4 linked regions of the Notamacropus eugenii genome follow. The protein of the gene in region 2 purifies or fractionates together with the protein of the main gene of each other region. This does not show direct contact. Links are inferred from orthologs where the notes say so. Each region holds a gene or a part of one and is shown on either strand. Other genes may lie near its edges.

Region 1 (7,500 bases), on a different chromosome or scaffold from region 2:
TAGGGGCAGACCACTTGCCAAAGAAGACACGTCACCTCCTTAGGAACTCTAAGCAGGTGCTCAGTTTGTGCAAACCTTTATACATGCATATATGAAAGGAAGGCATACTTAGGCTTCTCGATGGAGGACAATTAAGCCTGCTCTTCCCAATACGTGGGCAAAGGAAAATGTCCTTTCAAATACCTGGCAACATGGAGCAGTAGAAAGGGCACTGGCCTAGGAGGGCATCCCGGCTGTCCTCTCTGCCACCAGTCTCTTTCTGCTCTGATCCATCTATACAGCTTCCAAACCATCTTCCTTAAGGACACATCTGACCATCTCACTCTTCTGTTCAAAGAGTTGGCCACTTGTTTCCCCTACAGACACAAGCTCCTTACCTAGTCCCCTAAGGCTGCCAGTAGTCTTGCTGCAGTCTCTCTTTCTCAGGTGAACTGGATTATCTGAGATGGTAAAATGATCATTACCCCTCCCGCTTCCATGTCCACTGTGATAACACCTGTGACTTCCTATTATCACATACTATCATAGGGATAACAGTACAACAGAGAAATGAGTTAGTGCCCAACTTGTGGAATGTCCTTGCTCCTCACTGGTGCCCCTCCAAGTTGAGAATCCTGAGCTTTCATTCGGGCTCAGCTCAGATGTCATCTCTGGAAAAAGAATTCAATCTGGAGATGAAGACTGGGCTCAAATCTCAGTTCTGCTTCTTGCTGTGTGACCTTGGGGAAGTTGTTTCATCCACCACAGCCTCCAATTTCTCATCCAGAAAACAAGGGGATTGGGAATTAGATGACCTTCAAGATCTCTTCAAGGTCATAAGTTATAATAACAATAGTTAATATTTCCATAGCACTTACTACATGGCAGGCATTGTGCTAAACATTTCACAATTATTAGCTCATTTGATCCTCACAACAACTCTGGGAAGGAAGTGCCACTATTACTCCCATTGTACAGATGAGGAAACTGAGACGGACAGAATTTAAGTAACTTGCTGCGTGACACAGCTAGTGCATCAGAGGCTGGATTTAACTCGGGTCCTGATTCCAGGCCTGGGGCTCTATTTGCTGCACCATCTACGATCTTGATTCTTTACTCATCCTCTGAGCTGTTCTCTCTCTCTATTCCAAAAACCAGAAAACAAGCCAAAGAACCAAGTCAAACCCAAACCCAAACACTTTTGTTTGAATGCCTCCTTTGCTACTACAAGAATGGCATTACAGAGTGCTACCTGGGGACCCAGCAAAGAAACGAGTGCTCATCCTAGCTTACAAACTTACTGGCTAAGCAACTGTGGTAAATCACCTCTTTCATAAAATAGTGATGGTAACACTTTTACACGGAAAGGCTGCCACAAGTCTGGTACTATGTATGTATGTGGACACTACCATCATCAAAGCCTAACTCACATAACCTCTTTGAGTAAACTTCAAGCTCCTCAACTGTAATATGGGAAGGATAACACAAAGTGACTCAAAGCTACTAGAGTTCAAAACTGCCCTAAGACTTTTGGGACACCCTGTTTCACAACAACACTATAGAACTCATTTGGTTGACATGAAGAAAGTGCTTTGTAAAATGTAAGGGTACACTTTCTCAAAGGCTTAAAAATCCATTTTTTTTAAAATAATAATGTCACCGAGGCATTCCTGTCTCCTTTCTCAGATAAACTCCAGAGAGCGTCAAACCACACATAACAGTATAGCACAATTCCAGGAAGACAAGTTCCAGGCCAGATAAGAGGGCATCAGCACACAGTAAGCCTGAGCTTGCACCTGCCCCTGCCCTCAAACTTGTACTCAGATCAGCAAAAAAGGTTGTGAATACTAACATACCAGCCCCTGCCAGGGGAGGGAAAACTTCTGGTCTGGGCTGCCCTACATCCAACAAGAGAAGTTAAAAACACACACTCACAACTGAATAATGTAAACTGACTGAACACCTAGGAGAAGGAGCCTTCCTTTCCTCCTCTGTGAGATGGGCACACGCATGCCTCTTTACAAAGCTGTGAGGTCCCATCTGGATAGGCTTGGCAATCTTGAACTCTATGATCCTATTACTACACTCTCTGCAGAAAGGCGGGCGCCTGGAGGGACGGCCTGCTTCCTTTCTGTGGCTGCAGAAAGTACTTCTATACACTAAGCCCTCAGTCAGCCCTGGCTGAACGAGGCTTCTCTAGTTAGCAGCTATCGACACACTAGAATGTAAACTCCTATCGGAAGCCTCGCCCCCACCGCCGCCATGCAGTAGGCGCCTAATCCCTGCACGCTGCTATTACTATAGATAACACATGTTATATGTGTTATTATTATCGCGCGCGCACACACACACACACACACACACACACACACACACACACACACACACACACACACACACACACACACACACACACACACACACACACACACTCGGCTAAGGCTAAGGCGGCGGATCTCTCAGCATCCCCGGGCCAGGACCACAAGCACGGACTTCGCACCCACCGCCCGCAGCGGACCGGGCCGAGCGCTTCACAACCGCATCCCACAAGGGGGCTTCCCTTCTCCCCCACTCTGCCGGCAGCCCCTTCCCGGACCCTCACTCCCGCCGGGGAGGGGGGGACAAACCAGGCCCCCCAAGCAAAGCCTTCACCGGGTAACTGAGCACAAGGTGGGTCGGGGTGGGGGGGGTAATTGCCACTCTTCCCTCCCTGGGGGCGTCTGTTTTGGAAGGCGGGGCCCCGCCCCCAGTCCCACCTGAGGAAGGACGGTCCCGGGTCCGCGCCCGCGGCCGCAAGGTGCCTGGCGCTCCCTCCGCGGGACCCATCCCGGCCCCGGGAGAGAGGCGGCCTCCCCGGCCCTGGCCCCTCCGCCTCCCCGCCCTCACTCACCCCGCTGCCGCCCGTGCTCCCCGAGGCCGCGCCCGACCCCGTCGCCTCCGCCGCCGCGCCGGCTCCGGGAAAGGGCCCGCTCCACACTCCAGATTCAAACGCACGCCTGTCTCTTCTCCGGCGCATCTCATTGGCTGCCATCCGCCTGACGTCACCACGCCCGTCGGACGAAGCCACGTGCGTCCGCATTCGAGGTAGATTGGCCCGAGCGGGAGCCCGTCGGCCCCTAGCGTTGCCCTGGTAACGGCGGCGGTTGGGCGGGACTGGCTGCGGCCGTTGGAGGCGGAGCCCCGACTGGAGGGCGGTGCTAGAGCTGAGCGGACGCTACTCCATCCCCTCCGAGGAGTCGGGGGCGCGGTTCCGGGGTTACCCCGCGGCCTCCTGCCGCCGAAAGCCTGCGGAGGCCCATTTCTCCCGTCTTTGACTTGTTTGTATGTAGTTGTGTGAGCCTGGTCGGCATCAGACTGGAAGCCTCCCCAGGGCAGGGCCTGCCCTTGCCCTGGCTTGGCATCCCCCAGCGCCTGGCATCCCCCAGCGCCTGGCATCTGGCCGGTGCTTATTGACCACCTCTTCGTGATCCGAGCTGGCCTCATAAATCTAAACCGATTTCAGAAAAGCCCCCAAAACTGATTCGGAGAGTTGGAAGCAGTTCCCTCGGCCCTAGGTCAGATCACCTCGTAGTGGGGCGGAGATGGACATTGCTCAAATATATTTTTTCTTAACAAACCTGTAAGGATTTTGTGAGATATTGAAGGGGCAAAACTGGGAAGCCTTTCCTTTCTGAGATATCTTCATTGGGAAAAGTGCTTTGTGTTAGTCACTGATGAGTACTTGTTAAAATTAGGGTTTTAAAAAAGCAAAACAGCCATCCTTTTCTATATTACTTTTGTGACAATACTTTTTGTAGTATTGGGGTGTACAAGTAGTAAAACAGGCATCCTTTCCTCTGTTTATTAAGACATTTATACTTGTTAATTAGGGATTTTAAAATAGCCACAAAATGGATAGAACCATATGAATAAAAGGCTTTTATTAGGATTTGGGTTTTTTTTTTTTGACATAGAGCAAATTGTCCTAATAAGACACATATTAAAACTTATCTTTCTTCTTGATCTGTACCTGTGATTTCACCAAATTTGTCATAAGTGCAGATGAGTAACTTTTCTAAGTTAGAGTCAGAATTGGGGATGGGCGGCTAGGTCAGGACTAGACAATAGGTGGCAAAGAGGTAGAATTTAAACCCAAATCCATCTAACTGAAAGTATTAATAAACAGAAAAGGAGGACTCTTTTGTACAGTCATACACCCTAATAATACGGGCTGGCTCTCCAAGTGAAATAATGTGCTTTGTAAGCCTTAAAATGTTGTAGAACTGCGAGCCCTCCTTACTATTCTATTAAATTTTGTGATTTGACTCCTTCAATTACGACATCCTTACACAGTAAAACCAAGCCTGATTCAAGTTGTCAGCCAACAAGCATCTTTAAGCACTATACTGCCAACAAAAAAACATACTCTCTAGGAACTCACGGTTTAATAGGGGAGGCAACATAAAACCAATTATATACAAACAAGATATATAAATTGGAGATAATCAGTAGAGGGAAGGCACTAGCATCGAGGGAAACAAGCCTCCTTATAGAGCCTGGGATTTTGGCTAGGACTTGAAGGAAGCCACTAGGCCAAGATGAGAAGGCAAGGTGTGTGGAAATAACGGGGATTAAATAAGAGATGTCTAATGGAAAGCCATTTTCCAGCACTAGGACATTATAGGAGAATATCCTACAAATGATTTTTCACAGGCTTGCGCTAAGCAGCCATTCGTAGATGAGTCATTGGGTTGTGTGATACTTTGAGATTACATGAGGAGCTTGCTACAAAGTAGCCTGGAAGCTGCTACATCTTGTCCCTTTTTGGTGTGTCAGTTGCACCCGCAAACTCTGAAATGCACAATGTTAGAGTAGTAGGATCATGCTCCGAATCGTTTATTCTGGACAATCTCCCGGGCCAGGTTCTGCCACTACATGCGGTGTAGCCCCAAGTGATGAAGCCAGACCAGGATGGCCCCCTTGGAAGTTTTCCATCTCTCAGTTTTCACACGTGAACAGTTCTGAGAATCCCGAAGCTACCGTTACTGTCATCCCATTCTGTCCCGGGGCTCGGCCCCTTCTGATTTGGCCCCGGTAGAGAAGGGAGCCCTTAGTGCGCCCCGCTCGGCTCCGACGCCCGGGACCGTGAGGAAGGGCCGCGGCTCGGAGCCCCCGGAACCAAAGGCGACGCGGCTGGTTGCCGGGGGAGCGGGGCCCGCGCGTCCGTCCTCGGCGCCTTCCTCCGGCGGCGCCTTCCCCTCGGGCGGCCCACGTCGAGCGGCCGCTCTGCTCGCCCCCTGCTCCGCCCGGCCTCGGCCTTCAGGGCCCGAGCAAAGGCCAGTTAGAGACTGAGCTGGACGTAAGGCCTCGTGTCCGACCCAGGTGAGGAAGGCGAGGCTGCCCTCCCCCAGGGGAAGACCTTCCCCGCGGCCCCGCAGCCGCCCGGCGAGCGAGCGCCGTCCCCCTGGGCTCCCGGGCCGCGGGTCCTTCCCACCGCCGCCGTCTGCGAAGGCGCATTTCACGCCCGGGGTGGAGGGTAGCTGGTGCCCGGCTATACCGTGGGAGTCTGTGAGGGAGACAGAGGACAGGCCGGGGAGGTCGGGGAAGGTCCCAGTGGGGGCTCCCAGGACGTTTTATCTCCTGCACAGTCCCCAGAGGGAGGGGCTGTTATAATCCCATTCTGCAGACGCGGCCGCCGAGGCTCCGCTCGGTTTAGTGACTTGGTAGGTGTCATACCACTAGTCTCAGCCAGCCTCGTATCGGAGGTCTTCCTTCAGGTCCGGCGCGCTGTCTCTGGTCCTAATGGATCATCACCCTTTTCAGTGGAGACAGGCCAGCAAGTGAGGTGTCCCAGGGAGATGTTCGGGGGACTGCTCAGTGCTGGCTACCTTAAAGTGATCAGTCATGTAGAAAACAACACAAACAAAACTTTCTCAGTGAGGTAAGGTTGCCCTCCCCCTCTGGGTTTCTATATTTTTTCCCACAGTTCTCCTTTAATAATACCCTCTAGCTGTGTGCCTGGGGCACAGTTTAGTGACTTTACAAAATCTGATTTTCTGGAAACATTCCAAAGGTCAGTGAAAGGTTAGTGCTACTTTTCCAAAATTTCTTCCACTGATTTTGATTTTCTCCATGACTATAGACTCTTAGTTTGATTCTAGTTTTTAAACTAAAATCTAGATGAATGAAATCTAACTCTTTATTCACATACATACTTTGGCCAATGGACCATAACCAAACATGTTTGACTGTTTAATTGTCTAAATAGAATATTTCTGTTTTTGAAGATGAAAGACTTGTTAGAATTTAACCAAAAACTAGATGATAGCTGATGGGATGTGTGTGTGTGTGTGTGTGGGGGGGCTTCTTTCTCAGATATGAGTTGGAGTAGATGCTTCTGAGGTCACTTTCACCTCTGAGATACTGTGATGATTCTGAGTGTGTATGGATGTCTGTTGCATAAGTTTTTATGTAGTTATTAAATAGGAGAGTTTGGTTGGAGTTTTACTGTCAGGTAGGAAAGTAGTTGGTATCCTCAAAAAAACTTTCTGGAAAATAGAAAGCATTATTTCATGTTTAACTTGTCATCACTTTACTTTCCCAAGTCTATTACAACTTTACCAGTGTCTAGTTTTTACTATGTAACTATGCTGACACTGTTAGTATTTACTATGTTTATATAGTTTTTTGGGTTTTTTTTTTTTAATATAACTGGCCTTTTAAAAAAAATTTGAATGACTTATTCTTATCTTTATTTAGGGCAGTGTACTGTTTAGATTTGTTTCTTTTTGGACATAGCTGAATCAAGTCTTTTCCTCAGGTTACTTGTTAAGTGGTTTATGTTTTTGCAGATTTTATACAATCAACTTTTCAATATCTATTGTTTTATCTTCTGAAAGGAAGAATTTTTTTAAGCCAGATTTTATGAGTCTTTTTGGAATGTTTTAGAAGTAGAATGGTTTCTGTATTCTTGTTGTGAAGTTAAAGTCCCATAAATTTTATTTTAGGAATTTTTACTTTTCATTCTGATTTGGCTGTTTCTGCCGAAAAAAAAAGTTCCTGAAATATCATGTTTTGGAATGATTAGTTAGGTATTCATTGTTTTGAGGAAAATAAGGGATAGTGCCTCAAATGTTGTTTAATATCATTTGGCAAAATAGTTATTATGATGTGCAGGAGAATTTTATCTTGGAGATATATTTTATGTATATTTTATCTTGATTGTATTTTTTTATCCTAGTAGTATTTTTGTCCTGTGAAGCTATAATATGCAGACTGAAAAGGAAAAATGACCTAACATAAGAAAACATGAATCAAAGCCTGATTGAAAGAGGTTGAGGAGTGAGTTGGTTGTGAAGAAATGAAAAGATGGAAAAAATGCTGTTTCTAAAAGATTGGTTCTGAAAGGGTAGTAATGTCATGTAAACATTTTTGAAAGAATAGAGAACCAATGTTTGTTTCAATATTTGACAAGGAAGGCACCAGCTGATGAGGGTAGAACTCATTCACAAGTTAATTTTGCTACTTTGTATTTCAAAATGT
Region 2 (7,289 bases):
GTATCCTTCCCTGTCCCAGATGCAAATACCACCCCCTCTCAGTTTTGAAATGCTTATGGACTGACCCACTAAGCATCCCTCCTGCACAGTTGAGAAGCCAGTACCACCAACAGGATATATACTTTGATATGCTACTTCTTCTAGCAGTGAGGAAAGTTGGTCCCCAACCAGCCACACTCTCACCCTTTTCATGTTCAAGGACACACACATGCAAGTTAACTAGCCAAAGATGCCATCTCTGCTCAGGGAAAATGTTTGGCTATGGGGTGGCAAGCCAGCAGCCTCCTCCTCACTGAATATTAACCAAGTGAGCTAACTAGTTGTGACAGAGACACTCCAGCTCTGGGAGAAGGGGGACACAGTGGGACAGTGACACTCAGCCTCGGGCAATGGTTCTGTGATATCTAATGAATCCAGAGGAGACAGCTGCTCAGTCCTGGCTCAAGAAGGCAGCTCCACTGAAGCAATTTGGAGGACTTATGCCCACCATTACATAACATAATCTACCCTCCCATGTCTGCTAGTTTATACAAAGAACAGAGAGACAACTAAACCATACAGCAGTTACAGTGTGGGATTTGAAGTTAAGAAACCTGAGTTTTAATCTTCCCTCAGACACTTACTAATTGTATGACCCTGGTAAATCACTTGACCTGTGTTTGCCTCAGTTTCCTCATCTGTAAAGTGGGAATAATGCTATCACCTGCCTTGTGGTGATAGCATCAAATGAGAAAACACATATAAAATGCTTTGTAAACCTAACATACTATTATTGGTGGAGTAGAGAAGAGGAGATTTCACCACACAGGGAAAGTAGCAAATTTCAAGGAAGGATTAGTTCTAAAGTCTGCTTCACATACAAGCAAGTACACACACACACACACACACACACACACACACACACACACACACACACACACACACACACACACACACACACCCCTTCACTTCCTCTCACTCCAGCCATGTACTTTGCTCCAACAATCTCCCTGAAATATTAATGTCTCTTCCCAGGAGGCTGAACAGGAGCCATCCTGTGGACAGATGGAAGGATTTGTAGAAAGCATTTCAGAGACTCCACCAATCCCGATCCTGGACACGTGAGATGAGAAGGTGGTTAGAGTATCAATGTATCTCAAACTGTTACAGGGCAAATCCCCAGGAAAAGCTGCAGACAGTAGAATAATGTCCAAAACCCAGCCAGTGGTCCATTTCTTTCAAATATTCTCTCTTGCAACAACAGCACCAAAGATCAGTAACAGCTAATATGATAATAAGTGATAATAATATAAAAGTAATCACATTTATAAAGCATGTTAAGGACTGCAGAGAACTCTATCTATGTTATTCTCATTCAGTGATCAGAACAATCCTAAGATACTAAGACAAATAAATAGTCCCTACTCTCTTCTGTGAGAAGCAGTAGGTAGAGTGCTGGGCCTAGAGTCAGGAAGACCTGAGTTCAAATTTGACCTCAGACTCTTAATGTAAAAATGGGGATAATAATAGCACCTATCTCCCAGGGTTATTATGAGAATCAGATGCAAAGAAAAAACACTTTGCTAAGCTAGGTACACTGTATTCACATAACATGCTTACAAATGTTATCTCATTTGAATTCTCACAGCCTTTAAGGGTGGGTACTATTATTTCCATTTTATAGATGAGAAAACTGAGGCAGACAGAGTGACTTGCTCAGAGTCATACAGTTAGCAAGTGTCTGAGGTAGGATAGGTCCAGAAAGGAGATTATGAAAAAGTAAGAGATGTCAATTAATTTTTTTAAAATTCAAGACTGTATCGAATCTTTGTCTTTTTCCTGTCATGGTTGGTTCTGGCATAAAAATGTCAAACAATGAGTGTCCCTCTCCTCTGTCCCCCAGCCAAGAACAGCAGCCTCAGGTTTTCTCACCATTAAGGTAGTATCTATCTTGAGTTCCTCACCTAGTTAATCAAATTCTCCACGTGCAAAGGGAGCACAAGAAACTTTCTCTGCAGGTGAGTTACACAACCAGACCAACTTCAAAATGCGCCAAGCCTATGTGGTGACCTTGGCAGGCTTGGGAGGCTCCAACTCAGAAGAGTGTTAAGACTCCTTGTAATTTGGTAGATTGCACCCAGTTCTCCATCCAACAAAAATTACGGGCTTCTTGCTACGTATAGTGCTAAATTCATCACATTCAGACATGAGCTGTCTTGCAAGAACAAGCCAGCTGTGCACGGCTGTGCACACTGGAAATGTTTGGGGCAAGGCCCATACAACCTCTATTGAAAAACAACAGCATGCCTTGGAAAAGGCATGCAAAAAACGGCTAGCTGTGGGGCTGTTAAATTGTTCCCATTTAACAGAGAAAGACCATGAGACACTGGAGAAAAAGGCAAGTGATTCTTTCTTGGTGCCAGTTGGTGGTGAGGTTGGGCCTGGCTGCAACCCCTTAACCTCCAAGCTTTAAAGACAAGGGAGACATATACCCAGATTATATTGTACAAATATAAACACTGCAGTTTCCTGGTCAGAAAATGAATGCCACTGTATTTGGTTTTTTTCCGAAAATGAATCTTCATTGCCCTATCTTTTTTGCTTTCTGCAAATAAGTCTTCCTCCCTCCTCGTTTCTCCCTCCTCCCCCATCCTCCTTAGCCCAGACTCATCCCAGGCTGTGTCTGAGAACAGTGGGGATTTTTAGGATAGAGAGTGAAGGAACAAGAGAATTTCACTTCTCTTTCCTTAGAATGAGGTGAATTCAGCAACTCTTTATTTATTATCTCCAGGGGGGCAAGGGACACTTGGGACCCTTCTTGGAATTCTGCCTCACTCTGGGAAATAATGAGGTGTCTTTGCCCCATGGGCAGTTTGCAGGAGTGGGTTACTGAGAGGAGAAAAGAGGGGATGGAGGAAGGGAGAGAAAGATTGAGGAAAGGAGGGAAAAGAAACAGAAATGCAAAGGGAAAAAAGGGAGAATCAGAGGAGAAGGGAAGCGGGGAAGGAAGAAGGGAAAGGGGGGGGAGAGACAAGAGACAGAGAGACAGAGAGGAAGGAGGAGGAGGAGGGGGGAAAGGAGATGAGAAGCCGACTAAAAGAGGGGGCAAAAGTGGGAAGGAGAGGGAGCAAAAAGAGGGGAATAGAGGAGAGGGGAGAAGAGGGAAAAAAGAAAGAGTAAAAGAGTGTAATAAAGGGAAAGAAAGGGAAGGAAAAGAGTGAAGAAAAAGAAAAGGGGAGGAAAGGACAGAGAAAGACAAGGAGAGCCAGAGGCAGACAAAAAGGAGGTTCTTAAGTGACTTTAGTCGCCCACGTGCTCTCGCCCAGCCCGGCGCCCTTTCCTCAGACCCTGGTTCTCCTCTTGGGCCAGCCCAGCGAAGCCCCCTCGCCTTGTCCTCTGACAGAATGGGGGCATTGAAAGCATTTGCTTTTCTTCTGTACCATCCAGCCCAAAGTCCGAGCCACAGAAAGGAGGAGAAACCCTCAGCAGGGCTACGAGGCTGGACAGGGGCAGGCCTGAGCCCCCAGAGAAACAATCCACCCCCTTCCTCTTTAATCCTGACCCAGGCCAAATGCGCTGCGCTTGGGGATCCCAAGGATGCAACGGAACCTCCGGACTGTGGGGAGGGAACACCACCAGGCTGGACAGCACCAGCAGTCCAGAGCCGCTCCCGTGCGCCTCGGGCTCAAAGGGCCCGTGAGAGTTGGGAAGAGGAGCCCCAGAGCTGGGGCAGCCAACTCCAGCTCCACCATCCCTCCCAGGTCCCTGTCTGCCCCGCGCGGCTTTTCGAAATCCCTCGCTAGCTGGGGCCCTATTTGTTCCCCGGTTCGCGGAAGGACCCGGCGCAGAGCGCTGAGCGACGCGTCTCACTCCCCCCGCCCCCTCCTGCCTCGCGCGCCGAGTCCCCGCCCCCTTCCCCTTTGGCCCTAGCCCCCATAAAGAGGTCCCGGCCGCTCTGCCGCGCTGCTCCCGCGTATCCATACGCCGCCCGAGGCTGGCTGAGGAGTCGGCGGCCATTTTGTCCCTCTCGTGGCTCCAGCGGGAGAGAAGGAGGAAGAGGGAGCCTGGGGGGGGGGAGGGAGGGGACGGGAAGGGAGCCGGCCGCCGCCTCCTTCGCCGCCGTCTCCACCGCCGTCTCCACCGCCGCTTCCCCCGGTGCCTCCGCCGCCACTGCCGCTTCTCTGTGCTCTGGAGCGTGGGGAAGGGGCGGACGGGACCGTGAGTCCGGGGGCTGGGGGGCGGGCGGCGGCGCCGCCGCTGCTGCTGCTGCTGCTGGGGCCGAGCCGGGCCGAGCCGAGCCGGGCCGGGCCGGGCCGGGGGGTGGGGGGAGGGCCGGTGAGGAGGCGCCGCCGCCGCCGCCGGGGCCGGGGTGCAGGAGGAGGCGATGGCGGATATCGACAAGCTTAACATCGACAGTATCATCCAACGGCTGCTGGAAGGTGAGCTGCGGACGGGGCTCCGGGGCTGGGGGCTCCGGGGCTGGGGGGTCCTGGGGCTGGGGGCTCCGGGGCTGGGGGGCCAGGGTGGCCGTGCACGGCGGGGTTAGGGGGTGCTAGGCTCCCGCGCCCGCCGCTGCCCCGGGGGGCTCTGGGCTACCCCCGGCCGCCTGGCCTTGCAGGCTGAGATGGAGGGGGGGCACCAACAGCGAGAGCTCCCCGAACACCCTGAGCCCTCCCTGGGGAGTGACGGGGGGGCCCCCTCGTTCATGACCCCCGCCGGCGATCGAGGGGACGCACGGACACGTCCTGGATGCTCTGCCCCAATCCTTGCTTTCGCTCCCCCCGACACCCCCCCCCCCCAACCCCCGGCCCCTTGGCTTTGAATTAGAAACCGAGCTGTGAAGTAACTCCTGCCCCCCGCCCCCCGCTTCTCCTTGGCGGGTCTCTGCAGACTTTTCTGTGAGCTTGGCTAGGCTCGTCCAAAGCCGCAGGACGGCGTGTTCCGTCCCCTTCTGCTGGGGCGAGCGCCGGGTTTCTCGTAGTGGCCTCCACAAAAGCCGTTTTATGGGGTGGTTGGTTCACTAGGTTTCTAGGTTTGCGGGCTTTTGTCCAGCCCACCCTCTTTCCCTCCCTCCCCCCGCAGACCTTAGCCCTGGAGAGTATTCTTTCTAAAGTTTATAGTCGAGAGACCTGGACTTTAATGACTTCACCTTCTCTCCCCACTCCCTGCTTTAAAAAAAATACAATTCCGTTGAGTAAGTAGGCACTTATTTCACTTCTGGCATAAAACCTGAACCAAGGAGGGAAAAAGGTTCTGTTTGTTTAAGAAAAAAAATAGGTGATTCCTCCCCCCCTCCCCTTCTTGTAATAATTGAGGGCTAAAATGCACTAGTTTTGACTTGACTAAAGGATTGGAGATCGATGTAAGGAAAAGATGCGAAGCATTTCAGTAAAGCAGCCGGAGATTCAGGGCATATGAAACAAGGCTAACATTTTATCCAGACTTTCGAAGAGCTCTTGGCACTAAGTAGTCCAGCTTTGCTAAGTTTCCTGTGAAGTGCTTATCGGCCGTCCTCTTAAGAGGTTCTTTGTAATGTGAATGTTACTGGTGCTGAGGGGAGAAAGTAAAGAAGCGCATGAACCGTGTGGCATTAAAATTCCCATCTCTTTGGGGGCAAATGACCTACGGGTAATGACCCAAATGAAATTTTGTTTTCCTTCGAATAGCTTCTTTTTAAACAACAACCAAAAACCCACCTAACTGAATGTGTATGTATCCCCTTCAGTGTTGCTGACATGTTGCTACTGTTAGATGTGAGCTCTTTGTCTTGATGTTTGTTAAAGATATTTTACCAGATGAGATGATTCCGTTTTTATGAGTGTTCAGTGTAGTTCTTTGCTTACATGAAATTGCAGTTTTCCCTTGACCAGAAACCGATGAAAGCTAGATTGCATTCTCTGATGAGCAAAGAATCTGTTTAAATATCTGAAGTTGAAATTGGATAAATGGAAGAAATTGAATTCTTTCTTTTTCCTCTTGTTCATTTGTTAGGCTGGTGGGTTGCTCTTCAAAGATAAACTCTCCAGTATTTACTTTGTCACTTAAAAGGTCTTCATGTGATACTTTTATGAGTTACAGGCCTAAAACCTAGAGTCAAAGTTAACCTGTAAATGATTAAATTATGATTATTCTGTCTTTAATATGTTTTATTTATTAATGCAGTTTTTTATACCAGCATACTTGCATATTGCCTTTGGAAGCCTCATTTTACATTTCCTTACCTGTCATTTAGAAAATCTGTCATTGCAAAGCTCGTCTTGTCTCATGTAGCATGAGTTGATCATTTAACTAAATGTAATAAACTAGTATTTCCTTAATGCTTAGGTGCTGGGGAAGGCCAGCACATGAATATTTAAATAACCTGTAGCATATGCTTGGAATCAGCACTTGGGCAGTGGCTCACCATCCAAGTAGGAAGACTTAATAATGAAGTTTAGTAAGATTTTTTTGTGTGGTGGGGTTTTTAACACACACACACACCCTCCTTTTTTTAACCGTTGAGATATGTCGGGAAATAGGAAGAAAATGCTTTTTCAGCCAGTACTAGATTTCCCTCCTTGAGGCAGATCTTTTACATATTCAAAATGGACAGGCCTTTAAATTGATTTAGAAAGTTGCATGCTTGTAAGGATGATGGTGTGTGGCTCTGCAAAACCACTCCACAGTAGAGAAGCCAACTCAAAATGGATGACTTCCTTAGGTTGGCTTCAGGGTCAGTTCTTCGCAGAAGAGTTTTAATTTTAATTTATGTGAATTTTGTCAGTTTGGTTTTAGGGGTACTAAGCTTTTTCATACTATTTTTTTTCCGTCTCAGGAATGGTATTTTACATGGAACAGAAGTTGATGTGTACAGATAGTATTTTGTAAACAATCAACAATGAAGTAACTTTTGACATTAGTAGCATTCCATTTTTTAAGCTATTGTAAGATGAAGAAAAATAAACTTGCTAATAATTTCAGTAAAGGCTTGGGGATACTTGCATGTTTAAGAGGTGCACTCAGCTCATTATACTAAGTAGCAATTGTGCTTTATAAAGCATAAGATGTGCACATTAAACTCAGAACCTTTGCTCATGGTTTCTAATGGTAGTTGCCACATTTTCCTGGAAACTTAGAATGGACTGTTTATTTCTCTTTTATCAGTGGAGGCAAAATTTCTTTTTCCTTTAGAGTAGTTCTTGCCCAAAGTCATGTAAACAAGTCTGTGGTCAGGGCTGCACTCAGATTAGAATTCCATGACTTGTTTTGACATCATAGATGCAGCCTTTCTCTAAAAAGGGTATCTATAATAACCTCCTTCTGTTTAATCC
Region 3 (7,995 bases), on a different chromosome or scaffold from region 2:
TGTCTTTGCATACTTGTGAGGGAAAAGGAAGATATTTAAAAGAGAATTCCAAAAAGCAATGTTCTCTAGAGCACATCAGATAGGCCTCCATTATGAGCAACTGATTATGGGTAACCTATAGGCTGGTGCTTATAGGCTCTTGAACGCTGTATTGGCAGGTCCTGTCAAGCTGGACGATCTTCAAGCATAGGCTTAGAGATAGAATGTATATGTATGTGTGTGTGCTGTCTGTGGACGAACCTAGCAAAGTGCCAGTGGTACAGCATAAGCAGGTTGGATGATGAATTTTTTCACTCCTTGTGACTCACGAAAACTGAGGCATAGAGACCTTGTAACCTTCATTAGTTAAGGAAATACTCCCACAGATGAACTCAAAGACCTTTGAAATACATAATTAAAATAATTTAAGTAGCAGGGATAGCCTAGGGGAACAAAGTAGCAACCTGGTGCAATATGGAAGGAAAGTGGATATAAAGTATGTAAGGCAGCTACTACAGGCATAAAGGAGTTTGATGCTGTTGAGTTCAGCTGTGTCCAGCTCTTCATGGCCCCATTTGGGGTTTTCAAGGCAGAGATACTGGAGTGGCTTGCCATTTCCTTCTCCAGCTCATTTTATAGGTGAAGAAACTGAGGGAAACAGGGTTAAGTGACTTACCCAAGGTCACACAGCTAGTAAGTCTCTAAAGCCTAATTTGAACTCGGGAAGATGAGTCTTCCTGACTCCAGGTATGACACTATCTACTGTGCCACCTAGCTGTCTGAAGAAAGAAGACTAGTTATCAAAACCTTGCATCATGTGAAGCTTTCAATTCAACATTTATTTGGCACCACCCTAAGTTGGGTCCTAAAAGAAAGGAAGGGCCCATAACAGATGGAAAATGGGGGAGGGGAAGGACAGAGTCCATTGTAGATATTCTGTACAGCATGAGAGACTTTTAGGTGCACTGGAGAGAGTGGATGCTGTAGAGGGCAAAATTATAATGGTAGAAGGAAGGAGGCAGGTAATTTCTAAATAGAGAAATACAGTGAACAGAAGAATCTGGGATATATGATTTGTAGAATTAGGAACGATATGATAAGAAATGAAACATTAGGTTGTGCATAAAGACAGGGTACTTGATGGTATTGCTACTTACTTTTTGGACAAATGTCCCTTTTCCCTGTGCACTAATTTGATTCTGCTCTGGGAAATTTGCACTTAGAACCTAGCTGCATTGGAAGAGGAGGAAGGGTTCAATCTTTAGCTTTCTTGTATTTAATCTCTACACTCTCTCTCAACGCAATCTTGTCTATGGTTAAGATTTCAACCATAATTTCTACGTACTTGATTTGCAGATCTCCAACCCCAATTCCTCTCTTTCTTAGAGTTCCAGTCCCACATTTCCATCTTCCTGCTAGTTAGTTCCATGTAAGTATCACACAGGCACTGACAATTCAATAATATTCCAAACACCAAATTCATCATCCTTCTTCAAAGACTGGCTTCTTCTCCTTATTTCTCTATATTGGTTAATGGCATAACCATTTTGTCAGTCACCCATTCTGAAAATATTTCACTCATTTCCATTCCCACTGCTTCAATCATTCTGTCTTCAAAATCTTTCTAGCAAACTTCTCCCTGTTCTGACCGCCATGGCCCCTAATTCAGAACTAACTTCCCCTCTCCTAGACTACTCCTAGACCAGAATAACCTAATTGGATTTCCCCCTCCAATCTATCCTACACTTCACTGACATATCCTCATGTCTGCTGTGATCATGTAACTCCTCAGCTTAAACACCTTCCACAGTTCCCTCTTCCCAAATGAGAGCCAAACTGTAGCTTGCCATTCAGGATCTAACTTACCTTTCCAGCATTATCTCCCCTAACAGACTACACCCTCCAACCACACAAGTTTTCTCAGTCTCTGATGTGGTCCAGGCTCAAAGGCCTCTGTACCAATGCTTAGGCATTATGTAGTTCTTCTTTTCTGGACTTCCCTATCCCCAACACTTGTTCCATTTGAAAACCTTCTCATCCTTTAAAGCCAACTCAGATGCCATCTTCTACACAGTACCCTTATCTCTCCACTCGGAAGCCATCTCTCCTTGCTTTGAATTTTCAAAAGTACTAAATAATTTTCCTATGCATTATCAACTTCCGCTTCATGTTAATGAATTTTTAAATATGCTTTTCTCCCCTGCACCCTCAACTGCCCGCGATCATTTAGTATTCCTGCAGTGCTTAGACTCCCAACAAATGTTTGTTGAAGAGGATTACTGTTGACTAAGGGTTGGGTATGTCAGGAAAAAAATGATCAGAGGAAAAAAACAAAGTTAGGAGAGGTGCTGTTAAGTCTACCCAAAGGGCTCAGGGAAAGTGGAGGGAAAGGAGAAGTAGCTACGCACACCTCTATGTTGGACGGGAAGCGGGCGGCGATAAAGCATGAGGGTGGCAGGGCCATCAAAGGATATCAGTAAAAAGTCACGGGGCAGAGCTGGGCCCGGCGGTCCTGGACACGTCTGTGCCACGGACCCTCTGCCAGGTTGGTGAAGCCCACGGGCCCTTTGCTGGATAACCCTTGGAAAGGCATCAGATAAAATAGAAGGGTTCCGAAGGGCACCGGCTGTCAGGAGGTCTTCTAAAGGTCTCCGGAGCCCAGGTTAAGGAGCCCTGGCAGGATAACGGATGGGCACAGAGCGGGCACGGTGCCCGCGCAGCTGCCGCGCTGGCGGGGCGGGGCTGCGAGGCCGGGCCCCAAGCCGCGAGCTGGCCGCAGGGGGCCGCGGGGCTCCCGCGCCTTCCTACCTGGCCCGGCCGCGGTCGCCGCAGGTCCTGGAAGTCGCGGCCGTAGATGGCCTCCAGCGCCTGCAGCTCGTGGTCCTGGCGCTGCGGGTAGCTCTCGGGCTGCTCCGCCGCGCCGTCGCCCGCTCCGCGCCGGGCCTGCTCTCCGGGCTCCCGCGGCTGGCGGGCCCGGGCGCCCCCGGCCATGGCCGCGGCGGCGGCGTGGGCTGGCGGGACGCCTCTCCGGGCCTCCGATCCGGGCCTCCCTGAGGAGGACGAGGACAAGTCCGGAGGAGGAGGGGCGAGGAGGGAGGGGGGAGGGGCGGGGCGGGCCGCCGGGACGCTGCGCTGCCCCCTGGTGGTCGGAGGGGCCGCCACTCCGCCCCGGGGGAAGGCGGCCTGCTCCAGCCACTGACGAGAGCTTCCTCCCCAGGGCCCCCTTGGACTGTGGCTGGGGATCTGGGGCCCTACACTTGGAACTATAAAGGCTATCTAGTTTATCCCCGTTTTACTGAGGAGGAAACCGAGCCAGGGACAGGTTGTGACAAGTGCCCAAGGAGTGAAGGATGGGCTGGGGCTCGGTGCCAGGGCTGGGCTGGGACTCGATGCCAGGGCTGGGCTGGGACTCGATGCCAGGGCTGGGCTGGGACTCGATGCCAGGGCTGGGCTGGGGCTCGATGGCAGGGCTGGAGCTCGATGCCAAGCCGCGGGATCCTAAATGCCTGGCCTTTTCCGCTGTCCCGAGTGCTGCTTATCTGGGAGGCCAGGCTTCCTCCTTAGCCCGCTCTGGAACCCGTGGAATAGAGCTGGGCCAGCCGTAGTTTGGGAAAGTAATGCAAGAAACGAGAAGGTGGTATAACCGCAAGGACGGGGATATACACAGGGGGCCAACTGGTAGAGATCTGCTTTTCTAGAAGGAAAGCAACTCTTGAGGGGTCAGCAATCACTTTAAGCAAACACTGTACCAACAGAGAAAATGCATGCAGAGAAATAAAGACAGGACTTCCAACTGTCTGACCATAAGCATGCATACATCACAGATCAACAGACAGATCCAACTCTCTGACCACACATACATTCATAGTTACCAGAGAGAGAAGCACCAGTATCTGGGTTTTCTAAGCTAGTGGATGTTACCTTAAGAGCTACCCAGAGTCTAATCTGGTCAAAGGACACTTCCAAGGAGAAAGCCCCAAACTAAAACCTCACTTCAGAGTAGTTATACAGTTTTCAGAGATGGAGGGCATGGAGGGCACACCCTCGGAGGACCCAGTGCCTCAATAGAAATGAACAAAAGGTATTGAGATCTATTAATGAGCAGGGAAGATCTTTAACTCTTCCTCCCTCCCACCTATTAACCTTACATTAACATTACAGGAGGATAAAGAGATGAATGATTCCCTTCTCTGCAGCTTTCTCCAACACTCCTCAAATCCCTGGTAGAGAGATGGCAAAAACAAAAAACAAAAAAAACTTGTGGGATTGGAAGGCTGTCAAAGAAGCCCTCATATTTGAATTCTTTGGGTTTCAAGAGTTGCTGTTTGGTTAGCTCCTTTCAGGAACACTTTCTTCCATATTTCTATGAACTGTATGGTTTATAAGTAGAGAGTCAGTCTCAGTGCATTGGGTGGCAGCATAGGGGTCTAAGAGAGGTGAAACAATGTGACTGGCCCCTTTGTGCTGTGAGAATCTTTGATAGAAGGATTATGTAATGATAATAGGTTATATTTATAAGTACTTTGTAGCTAAAATTCTTTTCATATGTTGTCACAGTGATGAGTTCTGGTTCATTGCAAATATTGTAATACTAATTATAAAAATTATTTGGATGAAGAAGCTGAAGTTTAGAGAAATTGAAGATATGGAACTAGAAGATCTTTTCATTTTACAAATGAGGAAACTGAGGTGCAAAGAAGTAAAGCAACTTGTCCAAAGTCACGTAGGTAACAGAGGACACAGCCAGAATTTGAACCCAAGTATAGTAATTTCTGTGATGTGCCCAAAGACACACAGCTAAGATGTAGCAATGAGGAGTCTAATGTAGGTCTTGTCACTACAAATAAAGATCATATTCCTTAGTTGTTTTTTTTCTTAAGAATCTTTCATTATCTGGTGCCAATTTACTATATTAGCCTTATCCCACATGATTCCTCAACATGTACTTCTCATTTTAGAGAAAAGTACTATTTGATGTCCTGTGAAGAGGCCCCATATGCTTCATTTACTTACACTGCTCATTATGCCTGAAATATCCTCTGTGGTAGGAGTGATATCTCCTTGGTATAGGTTAGACTAATTTCTCCCTAAAAGGCAAGGAAATCACCTTAGAGACTTCCACTAATACTCAAATCATTGACAATTGTGAATGTGAGTGGGATGAGCTTACCCATAAAAAAGAAAGAGCAGAAATGGATTAGAAACCAGAATCCAACAATATGTTATGTATGAGACACACTTGAAGTAGGAAGACACACAGCAAGTAAAAATAAAGGGCTGGAGCAGAACTTAATATGCTTCACCTAAAGTTAAAAAAAAAAAGAGCAGGGAGAGTGATCATGATTTCAGACAAAGCAAAAGCAAAAATAAATCTAATTAAAAGAGGCTATCAGGGAAGCTACATTATGTTAAAAGGTACTATAGACAATGAAATAATATTAAAAAAATTTAACAGCAAGTTTCTTTGATAAGGTTCTCATTTCTCAAAAATATACTGAGTATAGAATTGAGTCAAATTTATAAAAATAAGAGCTATTCCCCAACTGATAAATGATCAAAGGATATAAATAGGCAGTTTTCAGAAGAAGTCAAAGCTATCTAGTCAATTGAAAAATGTTCTAAATCACTATTGATTAGAGTAATGCAAATTAAAATAGTTCTGGGGTACCAACTCACACTTATCAGAAATGACTAATGGTGGAAGGGATGAAGGAAAATAGGTACATTAATAAACTATTGTGAACTGGTCCAATCATTTTGGAGAGCAATTTGGAACTGTGCCCAAAGGGTTATAAAATTGTGCATGCCCCTTGACCCAGCAATACTAGTACCAGGTCTATATTCCAAAGAGATCTAAGAAAAAGGAAAAAGGATTTATATGCATAAAAATATTTACATTAGCTCTTTTTGTGGTGGCACAGTTGGAAATGGGGAATTCTCATCAATTGGAGAATGGCTGAACAAGTTGTATCACATGATTGTGATGGAGTACTATTGTGCTACAAGAAATGATGAGGGGAGTGGTTTCAGAAAAGCATTGTAAGAACTATATGAATTGATGCAGAAGAACCAGGAGATCAATGTGCACAGTAACAGCAATGTTGTAGTGATGAACAACAGTGAACAATTTGGTTACTATGATCAATATGATCCAAGACAATTCCAAAGGACTCGTGATGAAAAAATGCCATCCACCTCCAGAGAGAGAGAACTGATAAACTTATGTGAATTGAAGAGTAGTTTTCTCACTTTATTTTCCTTGCTTTAAAAAAATATGACTAATATGGAAATATGTTTTTCATGATTTCACACTGATGATTAATATTATGTTGCCTGTCTTCTCAGTGGGTATGGGAGGGAGTGGAAGGGAGGAAGAGAATTTGGAACTCAAAATTTAAAAATAAAAAAATGTTAAAAATAAATAATAAAATGTAAAACAAAACTAAAATGTTCAATTGGCCATGTAGTTCTCATTTTGCTCTAATCCCAAACCTGAACTACTTGAAACATAACCCCCAGTTAGGCCTAGCCCAGAATCCCCTCCTATCTCATTTTTGCTTGTTGACAGCCTATTTATCCTATGAGGCCCAGCTAAAATTTTAACTGTTCTATAAAGAATTCTTTGACCCCCTAGCTGGAAACAATCTTTCTCTTAACAAATCTCATAAACATTTGTATTCCCCTTATTAATTTACATTCTAATGTATCAATAATTCTACTAGATTGAAAGTAGTTTCAGGGCTGGAATTGTCTTATTTGTCTTAAGAACCAGAATAGGCTTTTAACCAATAAATCAATATGCATTTATTAAGTACCTACTATGTGACAGGCACTGAAGATACAAAGAGAGGCAAAATACAGTCCTGGCTTTCAAGAAGCTCACAGTCTAAGGCGGGGAGGTAGTAACTTGCAAACAACTATGTACAAAAAGGACATATATAGGATCAATTGGAGATAATTAACAGAAGAAGGTACTAGCATTAAGGGGGATTAGGAAATATTTTAAGTGAGATTTCAAAGAAGCAAGGGAAGCCAGGAGGTGGAAATGAGGAAGGAAAGCATCTCAGGAATGGATAATAGTTGGTGAAAATACAAAGAGAAAGGAAGTTGTGGGATTCCAGGTTATGAAGAACTTTGAACACCAAACAGAGGATTTTATATTTGAACTTGGAAGTAATAGGAAGCCACTGGAGTTCACGGAATATGAAAGATCAATTTGTGAATTAGAAACATCAATTTGACAGCTAAGTATTGGAAGGACTGGAATGGTGAGAGACTTGTGGCAGAGGGACCATCCTTAACACTATTGTAATGGTTCAGTCATTAAGTAGTAAGGTCTTGGTCTAGAGTAGTGGCAGTGTCAGAGGAGAGAAGGGGTAAATATGAGAGTTATTGTGAAAATAAAATCTATAGATAGGGCTTGGCAACAGACTGGATATGTGAGGTTAAAGAGAGTGAGAAGTAGATGATGACATGTAGAGTGGGAGCCTGGGTAAATGGGAGGAAAGTGGTCTCTTTTATAGGAATACAAAAAGTAGAGAGATGAAAAGAAACAGGGGAAAGTACTGAATCCTATTTTGGACATGTAGAATTTAAGATATCTATAGGACATCCAGTCTGAGATGTCTAGTAGGCAGTTGGAGAAGTGAGTCTGGAGATTAGGAGAGCTATTGATTAGATAAGTAGATCTGAGACTCATCAGCATAGATAGGATCACTGAATCCATGGGAGCTGCTGAAATCACCAGAACATAAAAGATAAAACAAGTAAATGAGAAATAAGCTTGGAAGGACAGCACTAAACAGCTCAGGAGAGAGTGAGGTACAGGAAAGGTCTTTGGGAGAAGATGGCATGTTATCTGAATCTTAAAAAAGAGAGATAGAAAGAGGGAAGGAGGGATGCAGGGAGAGAGAGAGAGAATCATTCCAGGCATGTGAAATAGTCAATGCAAAAATATGGAGAGGAAACATGGAGTATTGTGTATGAGGAACAGCAATTTGGCCAGTATGAGTGGAT
Region 4 (7,634 bases), on a different chromosome or scaffold from region 2:
ACCAGTCTCTAGTATGGTGCCTCTAGATCTATATTCTGTTTGAAAATCTGCTTTGTGTATTCAGATATAAAGCAGGCAAGGTGTGTCTGCCAACCTAGGACCAAGGTTTCAGATGATGTCACTTCCCCACACTACTAACCCAGAGCACAGACTTGAGAGGCAGCCACAATCCTCAAGACATCAGTTAGTTCCCAAGAAACAAGGTTGTGAATGGCCAACACCTTTCAAACCCTGACTTCTCCAGCATTTCAGAACCACAGTGCCATGGCCAAGACATGTTCTCTATTTTAAACCTCATTAGACAAATTCTACAAATGAAAGGAGTGCATGAACCACCACATTAAGTGTTATCAGAATTCAGATGATGGGCCAGGAAGGGTTCCTCAAGAGGTACAACTTAGGATGCACAGGATCCCCTCTAACTGACATTACATGATGAGAAGGCCATTCCAGAAATGATTAATGAGCAATGGGAATGGAGGGAGAGACTGATCTTGTACATGTAAGAAGATTCTACTACAAGAATAAGGTTGGAAAAAGAAAAATAGATTAGAAAATAATGAGGTAGGGCCTTGAATGTCAGTAACGATTTGTTGTCAGAGGCAGGAACACCAACGATTCTTCCCCAGGATTCCCCCAAAGTTTCCAAACAAAACAAGACATTTTTTGAGCCACTGGAAAGACTGTATTTTATTTGTCCACTGTAGCTTTCAGACTTTACTGCAGTCAATCAACATCTATGAAGGGCCAACTTTGTGTCAGGCACTATGCCAAGTGCTGAGTACACCAAAAAAACTCATCATCTAAGGGGGGAGACAATATTCAAATAAATATGTACAAACAAGCTATACAGGATAAACTACTTAACAAAGGTTTTTAGTTGGTATTTAAAGGAAGCCAGGAGGAATGTACAGTAGGCCTTAAGGCAATACAGAGACACTAGAATTTACTGAGTGGGGGAGCAGGGGTGACAGAGACAGACCTGGGCTTTGGCTGGGCAGAGGAGGGACTTGAGTGGGGACAGACTTGAGGCAGGCAGATCCACCAGCAGCTAAGGAAGCAGTCCAGATGTGAGGTGATGAGGGTCGGCACCAGGGTCGGGGCCGTATCAGAGGAGAAAAGAGTGAGTGTTCAAAGGATGACTGAAAGGTGACAATAAAAGGCCATGACAACTGCCTGGCTATGGGGGAGGGTGAGAGGTAGGGAGGAATCCAGGATGACTCCCAGGTTGTGAGCCTGAGAGACAGGGAGGATGGTGTTGTCCTTGATAGTGGTGGGGAAGGAGAGTAGGGGCTTAGGGAGAAAGATAAGTAGCCAAAACAGTTCACATGTGCTTGTCAACCCTTTGATAACATTCCCCCCACTGACTGGGCATCAGACTTTGTCACTACGCCTCATGAGGAATCATGTACATTCATAATAATTTTTAAGGTGTCCTTCTTCCTTGCATTTTACACTATATACAATGGCCAACATTAAAAGATTTTAGGAACCTTAAAGGTTATCCAAAGAAGAAACTTTAAAACCAATTGTTTTGAAGGTCACATCCAGAATTTTTAAACTCTGACTTTGAAAACAAAGAAGGATAAGGGTCCAAGCATGGCAGGGAACGTCAGGGGAGCTAGGGCCCTAAGAACAAGGAACGACAGGCTTACCAAGAGCATAATAGGGAATGTCAACCTGAGAGGAAGCCTAGAAATTGGTGAGTCTTAATCTTCCTTTGTGTCATGATTCCCCCTCAGAATAACGATTTTAAATACAAAAAATTAAAGACGTACGACTGTAGAGAAAACCAATTATATTAAAATATAATTGTCAAAAAAATTTTCAAGTTCCCAGTCCTTAAATTAAGAACCATTGGCCTAGCTTCTTGACTTGAGAGAGGATTCTTAAAAAGCAACAACGGAGGAGGAAATGGAAAGGATAGGTTAGGAAATGAATATGTAAAAAGGCGTAAAAAATAAGCAATACTGTCTCCAGCTGCACTCACAAGCCCCACCCAGGGTGGCTGCTAGTCTGGCTTAATTCCCACTCTGTGGCCAAGGTCCTAGGCATGGCAAGAGGTGGAGCCTTTGAATGTCTTCTGATGGGCAAGAGGTGCCATGTGGGTAACCAGAAGTCGTACCTGTTACTCTGGGCAATTTTCTCTTCTCTGAATCTGTTTCCTACGTAAACAGAGGGAACTGTACTGACCTGGTCGCTGAGGTTTCTTCTAGATCTAAGATCCTAAGTCATACTACCTCCCTGGGCCTCAGTTTCCTTCTCTGTAAAATGAGGACGGTGTGCTAGATGGCTCCTGAGGTCTCTTCGAGCCTAGTTCCTGGCCTTACTCATTTCCTCTAGGAACTGGGAGTGAGGGGGAGGTATCTCAACTAGGTGGTGGTGGCCCAACGGTTAGTGTTCCAGGTATGGAGTAGGAAGACCCTTTCTCCCCCCCCCCCCCTCATCTCACCGCGGGGGGTCCCCTCCCCACCATACAGAGGCAGGGTCACAGCGAGGGTGCCCTCTCCTCGCTCCGCTCCCGCCCCCGCCCCCTCCCCCGGGTCACACCTGGGCCTGCAGGTGCAGGGACACGGCGGCGGGCTCGAGGCGGCTGCGCCGCACCAGGCGCAGGCAGTTCTGCAGGTGCTCCTCGCCGGCAGCTAGCTCCTCCGTGTCGATGTGGTTGAGGCCCAGCTGCAGCTCCACGGCGGCCAAGCGCACCGCCCGCGCGCTGGGCTCGGCCCCGGCTCCCGGGCCCTCCGCCGCCGGCCCCTCCTCCGCGCCCGGGCCGCCGCCGCCACCGCCCCCGCCGGCCTCGTCGTCCTCGTCCTCATCGGCCGCGGGCCCCAGCAGCGCCTTCACCTCCTGCAGCAGCTCCCGGGCGTAGTACTTGGACTTGTACGGGTTGTTCTCCGGGTCCTTCTGAGACTCCACCTGCGACAGCGACAGCGACGCGCGGAACATCTCGCAGGCCGCGGCCCAGTCCTCCGGGGTCGCCATAACGCCCCCCTCGTCCGCCCCGCCGCTGCCCCTCGCCCCCTGCCGCGCCCGCCCCACGCACGTCGCGCACACCTCGCAGGGCGGGGCCGCGCGGGCGCGCCGGCCAATGGCGGGAGACGCCGGCGCGAGGGGGCGGGGCCTCCGCGGCGAGGCCCACCGTCGCCATGGCGACGCACCTGCGCCCGAAGAGAGGCTCCGCTCCTCTTTCCTAGCGGTGCTGCTGGGTGGCTACGCTGAGACGTCCTCGCTCTTTTGGCCGAAGCACTTCCGAGGAGTCCAGAGCCAACCAGCCTTCCCCCACGTGACTGCCGGCCCCGCCCTGGGAGGAAGGGGCCTCGGAAGCAGATTCTATTCTGCGCACGCTCGTTGGGCGTCATCCGTGTGCGACGTTCGGGGCCGGGGCGGGCCGGGGTCCCCCGACTCAGTTTTTGATGAATGCGTATCTGCGCATGGTCGGTCAGCAACTGGTGTGCCAGGCGCGGTGCCAATCGAAACACTGCCCTGCCCCCTTACCCCCAAACAACAGTGCTGGTATTTACGCAGCTCTTCCGTTTGCAAAGCGCTTTCCACAAGTCCCACCTCGAGAAGGTAGCGGAGAAGGGACCGCAAGCTGCCACTGCAGTGTGCGCATGCGCAGCGATGGGGCTCAGCGGAGGCCCAGTGGGCATGTCCTGCACTAGCAGGCCGGGCTGCCCAGGAGTGTGAGAGGGAAATAAAATGGGGACTCGGGGCAGAGGAATGAATGGGGAGCCTAGTCTAAGGGTGAGGCCTTCACTAGGGGGCAGAGGAGGACACTAGAATCCTAGCCCGAGAAAGTGCCAGTCTTTGAACCCCAAATCCAGCGCTGAATTCTGACACCACCAGGAAAGCCCTTGGAGATATAAATTTGGACCCTGGCATCTTCCCACTACTCAGGACTCGGAGGGCCTTCCCTTACCCCCGTGCCCAGAAGCACGGCCTGAGTCCTTGCCTCTATAAAACGGGAATAACTTCTGCCCTATCCAATATTATAGGATGAGTCCCAGATGGAGTAATGGGTACAGAATCTCCCGAGCAAATTTGTTAATAATCTCACACACACACACACACCTTTCAGGCCTCTGCAGGGCCCAGGCCGCTGTGGTACTAAGAAAAAGCAGCACAGGCATAAGGAAACTGTTTTTAATTAAGACATAAGACAATATCTTAGAAAATATTTACCTTTAATAATCCATTGACAGTTCCCAATTCATAAACAGATTGTATTCTGAAAATTCATTTGTAAAAAAAAATCTGGAACTCAATACTTTCTCATGAGAACTAAATTAAAAACGGTAGTGAGGTCCGCAGGCCAGCCCAACCAAACCTCATTAAAACTCTTTTTAGGTACCAATGAATGTAATGTACAAGTCTTGTTCCAGGAAAATTACATTTTCCCACAGCCTTTTGTTATGAATATTAGCATTTTCCCTTGAAAGTCTAATACTGCAAAGTAGAAACGAACCCCACACTAGCTTTTATATTCAGAACTAAAATTTTCTTTTGTTCACATACAGAAGCATTCTTGATTCCAAAGCACAATAGTTGTATGCCCACAAACAAGGGAGTGCCCTTTAGATACCTTGCCAAATACAAGGCGACACCAGTTCCAAACCCAATCCTGCTGGCTGCCCACCAAAGGTTTGGCCACTGTTAATCACTAAATCACAGTAATGGGGTGCATTTCGTGACCTGTAAAAACCTCTCCCCACCAAGGTGGACCCAATTAAAAGGTATGAGATGCTGAGAGAACCCTGCACTAAAGACAGTTGACTCAGGACCAGAAGCCCTAGGTTCAAGTCGGACATTGTGCCATATACTCAAAAGAAGTATCAGTAACCTTATCAGTTACTTCACGTCTGAAAAGTTGTGCCTTCATCATCTGAAAAAATAAAGCTGGACCTCCAGGCTTCCCAGACGTGATGACAGAAGGTGGAATGAGAGGCTTTAGCATTCTCCCAGTCACCAAGCACCTAAGTAGAGCATTAGGAACCAGAATGGGAAGTTCAAAGGATTTCCAAGAGCATCAATAAGGGGGGATTTAGTTGATCATGAAAATACTTGCTAAATTGGCCTTTTGATTGTTTCTGCACTAACAAGGGCAGCTAGGGGGGTGGGGGGAGGGTGGGACTCAGCCTCTAGAACAAACCGATGCCTCATGCTCACCAGTATTAAAACACCACGACCCTGGCAATGAGCTAGAGCTTCAGGAGCCAAAGGAGAAAAAACAGGGGTTCCCAAGGTCATAAGAAGTCATGGCAGCATACCCTTCACCCAAGGTCACTCAAGCTAGTAAGCAGCAGGGCTGGAATTCAAACCCACATCTTCTGACTGCAAACCCAGTGTTCCTTCCACTAAATCTGGCCAGGGTGATCTGAAGTTTGGGAGCAAAAGGAGAGTCATCAAACTGGGGGGCAGCACAGTGCCAGGAACACCAGAGGGGCTTCATAAATGCTTAGACCGCCCTCACACTGAGACAAGAGTTAGTAATCCCCACACCACCAATGGGCAGCTCACCCCAGGGGCTGAGACAGGTTGTCAGGGGGCTACAGAAGACACCCAGAGGAGGGATGGGAACACCATTATGGGGGAGGGATGGACATGCCCCAGATCATCAACGGAACCTCCAAAGATACTTTACAAAGCAGAAAGAGCACAGTGACCTAATGAATCATCTCTGCTGCACAATGAAAGAGTTCTCAGAACAACCTCTAGCACACAGTAGGTGCTTAATAAATGTTTGTGGAATCAAAAAGCCAATGTACATATTCTATAACATAATAGGGTTATGGAAATTTACACAATAAGAATCAACCTAATATTTTTCCTATTACCAACAGAACCTGCTTATCAGTCAACACTTCTCCAAGTTTTATAGCTCCCTAGGTAGTGGTTTTGAATTTTTTCTCTTAATTGAAAAATGTTGTCTAATAGTTTATTTCATCTGGTTAGCAAGTCAAGATTTTTTCTCCGAAATAAATAATATTTCTTTCCCAAATGGAGAAGAATTCAAAGCAAGTAGACAAATATTTGCCTCCTTCCTTTCTTTCCACCTGGGAAAGGGCATAAAATTATCTTCCCATGCCTGAGATTCTAACAGATGCTTTCAGTAAAATTTGCTAGTTTTTTGTCTACCATAAAGGAAGATTTGACAGAACCTGGTTAAAGCCACCTGGGTCCCATGCCACTGAGGAGAATGCTTGTGATTTATTTCTCAAGCACCAAAATAGCATTAGATGCACAAAAAATGTATTCTTTATGAGATATCAAACCCACAGCATCATCAGCAGGACCCAGGCTCTAGAACAAGCCGATGCCCAATGTCTCCCCAAGAGAATTCATTCAGCTGGTGGACTAGGAATATCTGTTGCAAAAACAAATCTTTGGCTATGGAAGAAAAGATCTTCTGAGCTTGGGTGCCCTGGGAGCTCATCCTCAGGGTAAAACACTACACAGAGATACTTTTCTACTCCTTTCCAAAGACGGCAGAGCTTAGAAGCAATCCACTAACATGAATTTCAGAATGAACACGTGTGCACTGACACACTTGTCCCAAAGAAAAACTTCTGAAGACACAGTGGACAAATGAAGGGATGGCGAACATCCCTTTGAACAGGGACGGGCCTCGAGGCAGAAAGCATCATCTCTTGCTGAGAGCTGCCCCAAAGGACAATAGCCAGGTGGTGAGCGGAGAAGGAAGCAAGAAGCAGGTCTAGAGTCTACAAAAGTCACTGGGGAGGGTGGTGCTGTCTCTTCAAACTTAATTGTGTCCTTTTGCTCATCTTAACGATGAGAAAATGCTCTCTGAAAACTTCGCTTCTGGCCTCTATTCTGAAATCTGTCATTCCTGTTGAAGCCGCTGCCACCATTCCGGCCGCCCCCATTCCGGCCGCCCCCATTCCGGCCGCCACCATTCCGGCCGCCCCGGCCACCACCCCGGCTGCCACCTCGGCCACCACCTCCCTGCCTCTGGTTCCGGAAACTAGAGAAGCCTCTGCCTTCATCAGGCTGCTGCTCCAGCTCGGGTCTCTCGGTGGCCACAGAGAGCTGCCAACGCCTTGAGTCCTGCCATTGTTCCTGGGGAACACAAGGTATGTTTGTCTCAATTCAGTTTGTCCAGATACCATCTGAAGGAAAACAAGCATCTCCCATCCTCCCAAAGAACTCCCGACTCTACAAGTGGTGCAAACCCCAAGGTGACTTCCCTTGAATGCTAAATGCTATGGGCACCATCCTGATTGCTCTGGTCATTGAAGCACGATGGGAAATTCTCCTCCCCCTACTTTGAAAAGGACTCTACATTCACAAGCCATTTGCTGGACCCAGAGGCTATATCCCACCCACACTATGCCAGATGAGAATACCTGGAATGTCTTTACTTCTGCAGCAGGAACATCAAAACAAACGCCCTAAAAAGAAAGGAACAGGATGAAGAGTTTCACAAAGGGATCCCTCAGTCCCTGACAAGGCTGAGTAACCTCAGACAGGTGTCTGCTCATCCAGCCATGGTCCAGATGTTATCCGTATGCCACAGACTGAAGAGGGGAGATGTGCCATCACATATGGAATACATGGAGCTGCTCTCCAAAGCCGAGCACAAGAGTGTGAGTGGTCTAACACAGAGAGCTTGAACT

The links.
Region 1: the proteins of PPP1CC (region 2) and KIF18A purify together in Homo sapiens (affinity purification with mass spectrometry; 4 studies listed by BioGRID and IntAct, counting the BioPlex papers as one, with this or other methods). This does not show direct contact. The link is inferred for Notamacropus eugenii from reciprocal best matches to the Homo sapiens genes PPP1CC and KIF18A.
Region 3: the proteins of PPP1CC (region 2) and EIF2AK4 purify together in Homo sapiens (affinity purification with mass spectrometry; 3 studies listed by BioGRID and IntAct, counting the BioPlex papers as one, with this or other methods). This does not show direct contact. The link is inferred for Notamacropus eugenii from reciprocal best matches to the Homo sapiens genes PPP1CC and EIF2AK4.
Region 4: the proteins of PPP1CC (region 2) and KIFBP purify together in Homo sapiens (affinity purification with mass spectrometry; 3 studies listed by BioGRID and IntAct, counting the BioPlex papers as one, with this or other methods). This does not show direct contact. The link is inferred for Notamacropus eugenii from reciprocal best matches to the Homo sapiens genes PPP1CC and KIFBP.

What each region holds. Positions count from the first base shown.
Region 1 is NC_092877.1:23,275,341-23,282,840, reverse strand, and holds the start of KIF18A (kinesin-like protein KIF18A), read right to left. Parts: upstream 3,002-7,500; 5' UTR 2,870-3,001; intron 2,824-2,869; exon of another isoform or gene 2,736-2,823; intron 1-2,735.
Region 2 is NC_092875.1:35,564,476-35,571,764, forward strand, and holds the start of PPP1CC (serine/threonine-protein phosphatase PP1-gamma catalytic subunit), read left to right. Parts: upstream 1-4,280; 5' UTR 4,281-4,363; coding exon 4,364-4,418; intron 4,419-7,289. UniProt on the Homo sapiens protein: Protein phosphatase that associates with over 200 regulatory proteins to form highly specific holoenzymes which dephosphorylate hundreds of biological targets.
Region 3 is NC_092878.1:25,754,558-25,762,552, reverse strand, and holds the start of EIF2AK4 (eIF-2-alpha kinase GCN2), read right to left. Parts: upstream 3,017-7,995; 5' UTR 2,971-3,016; coding exon 2,788-2,970; intron 1-2,787. UniProt on the Homo sapiens protein: Metabolic-stress sensing protein kinase that phosphorylates the alpha subunit of eukaryotic translation initiation factor 2 (EIF2S1/eIF-2-alpha) in response to low amino acid availability.
Region 4 is NC_092872.1:260,097,194-260,104,827, forward strand, and holds the start of KIFBP (KIF-binding protein), read right to left. Parts: upstream 3,016-7,634; 5' UTR 2,983-3,015; coding exon 2,551-2,982; intron 1-2,550. Other genes in the region: DDX21 (nucleolar RNA helicase 2), read right to left, coding at 6,784-7,077, 7,365-7,409. UniProt on the Homo sapiens protein: Activator of KIF1B plus-end-directed microtubule motor activity. Required for organization of axonal microtubules, and axonal outgrowth and maintenance during peripheral and central nervous system development.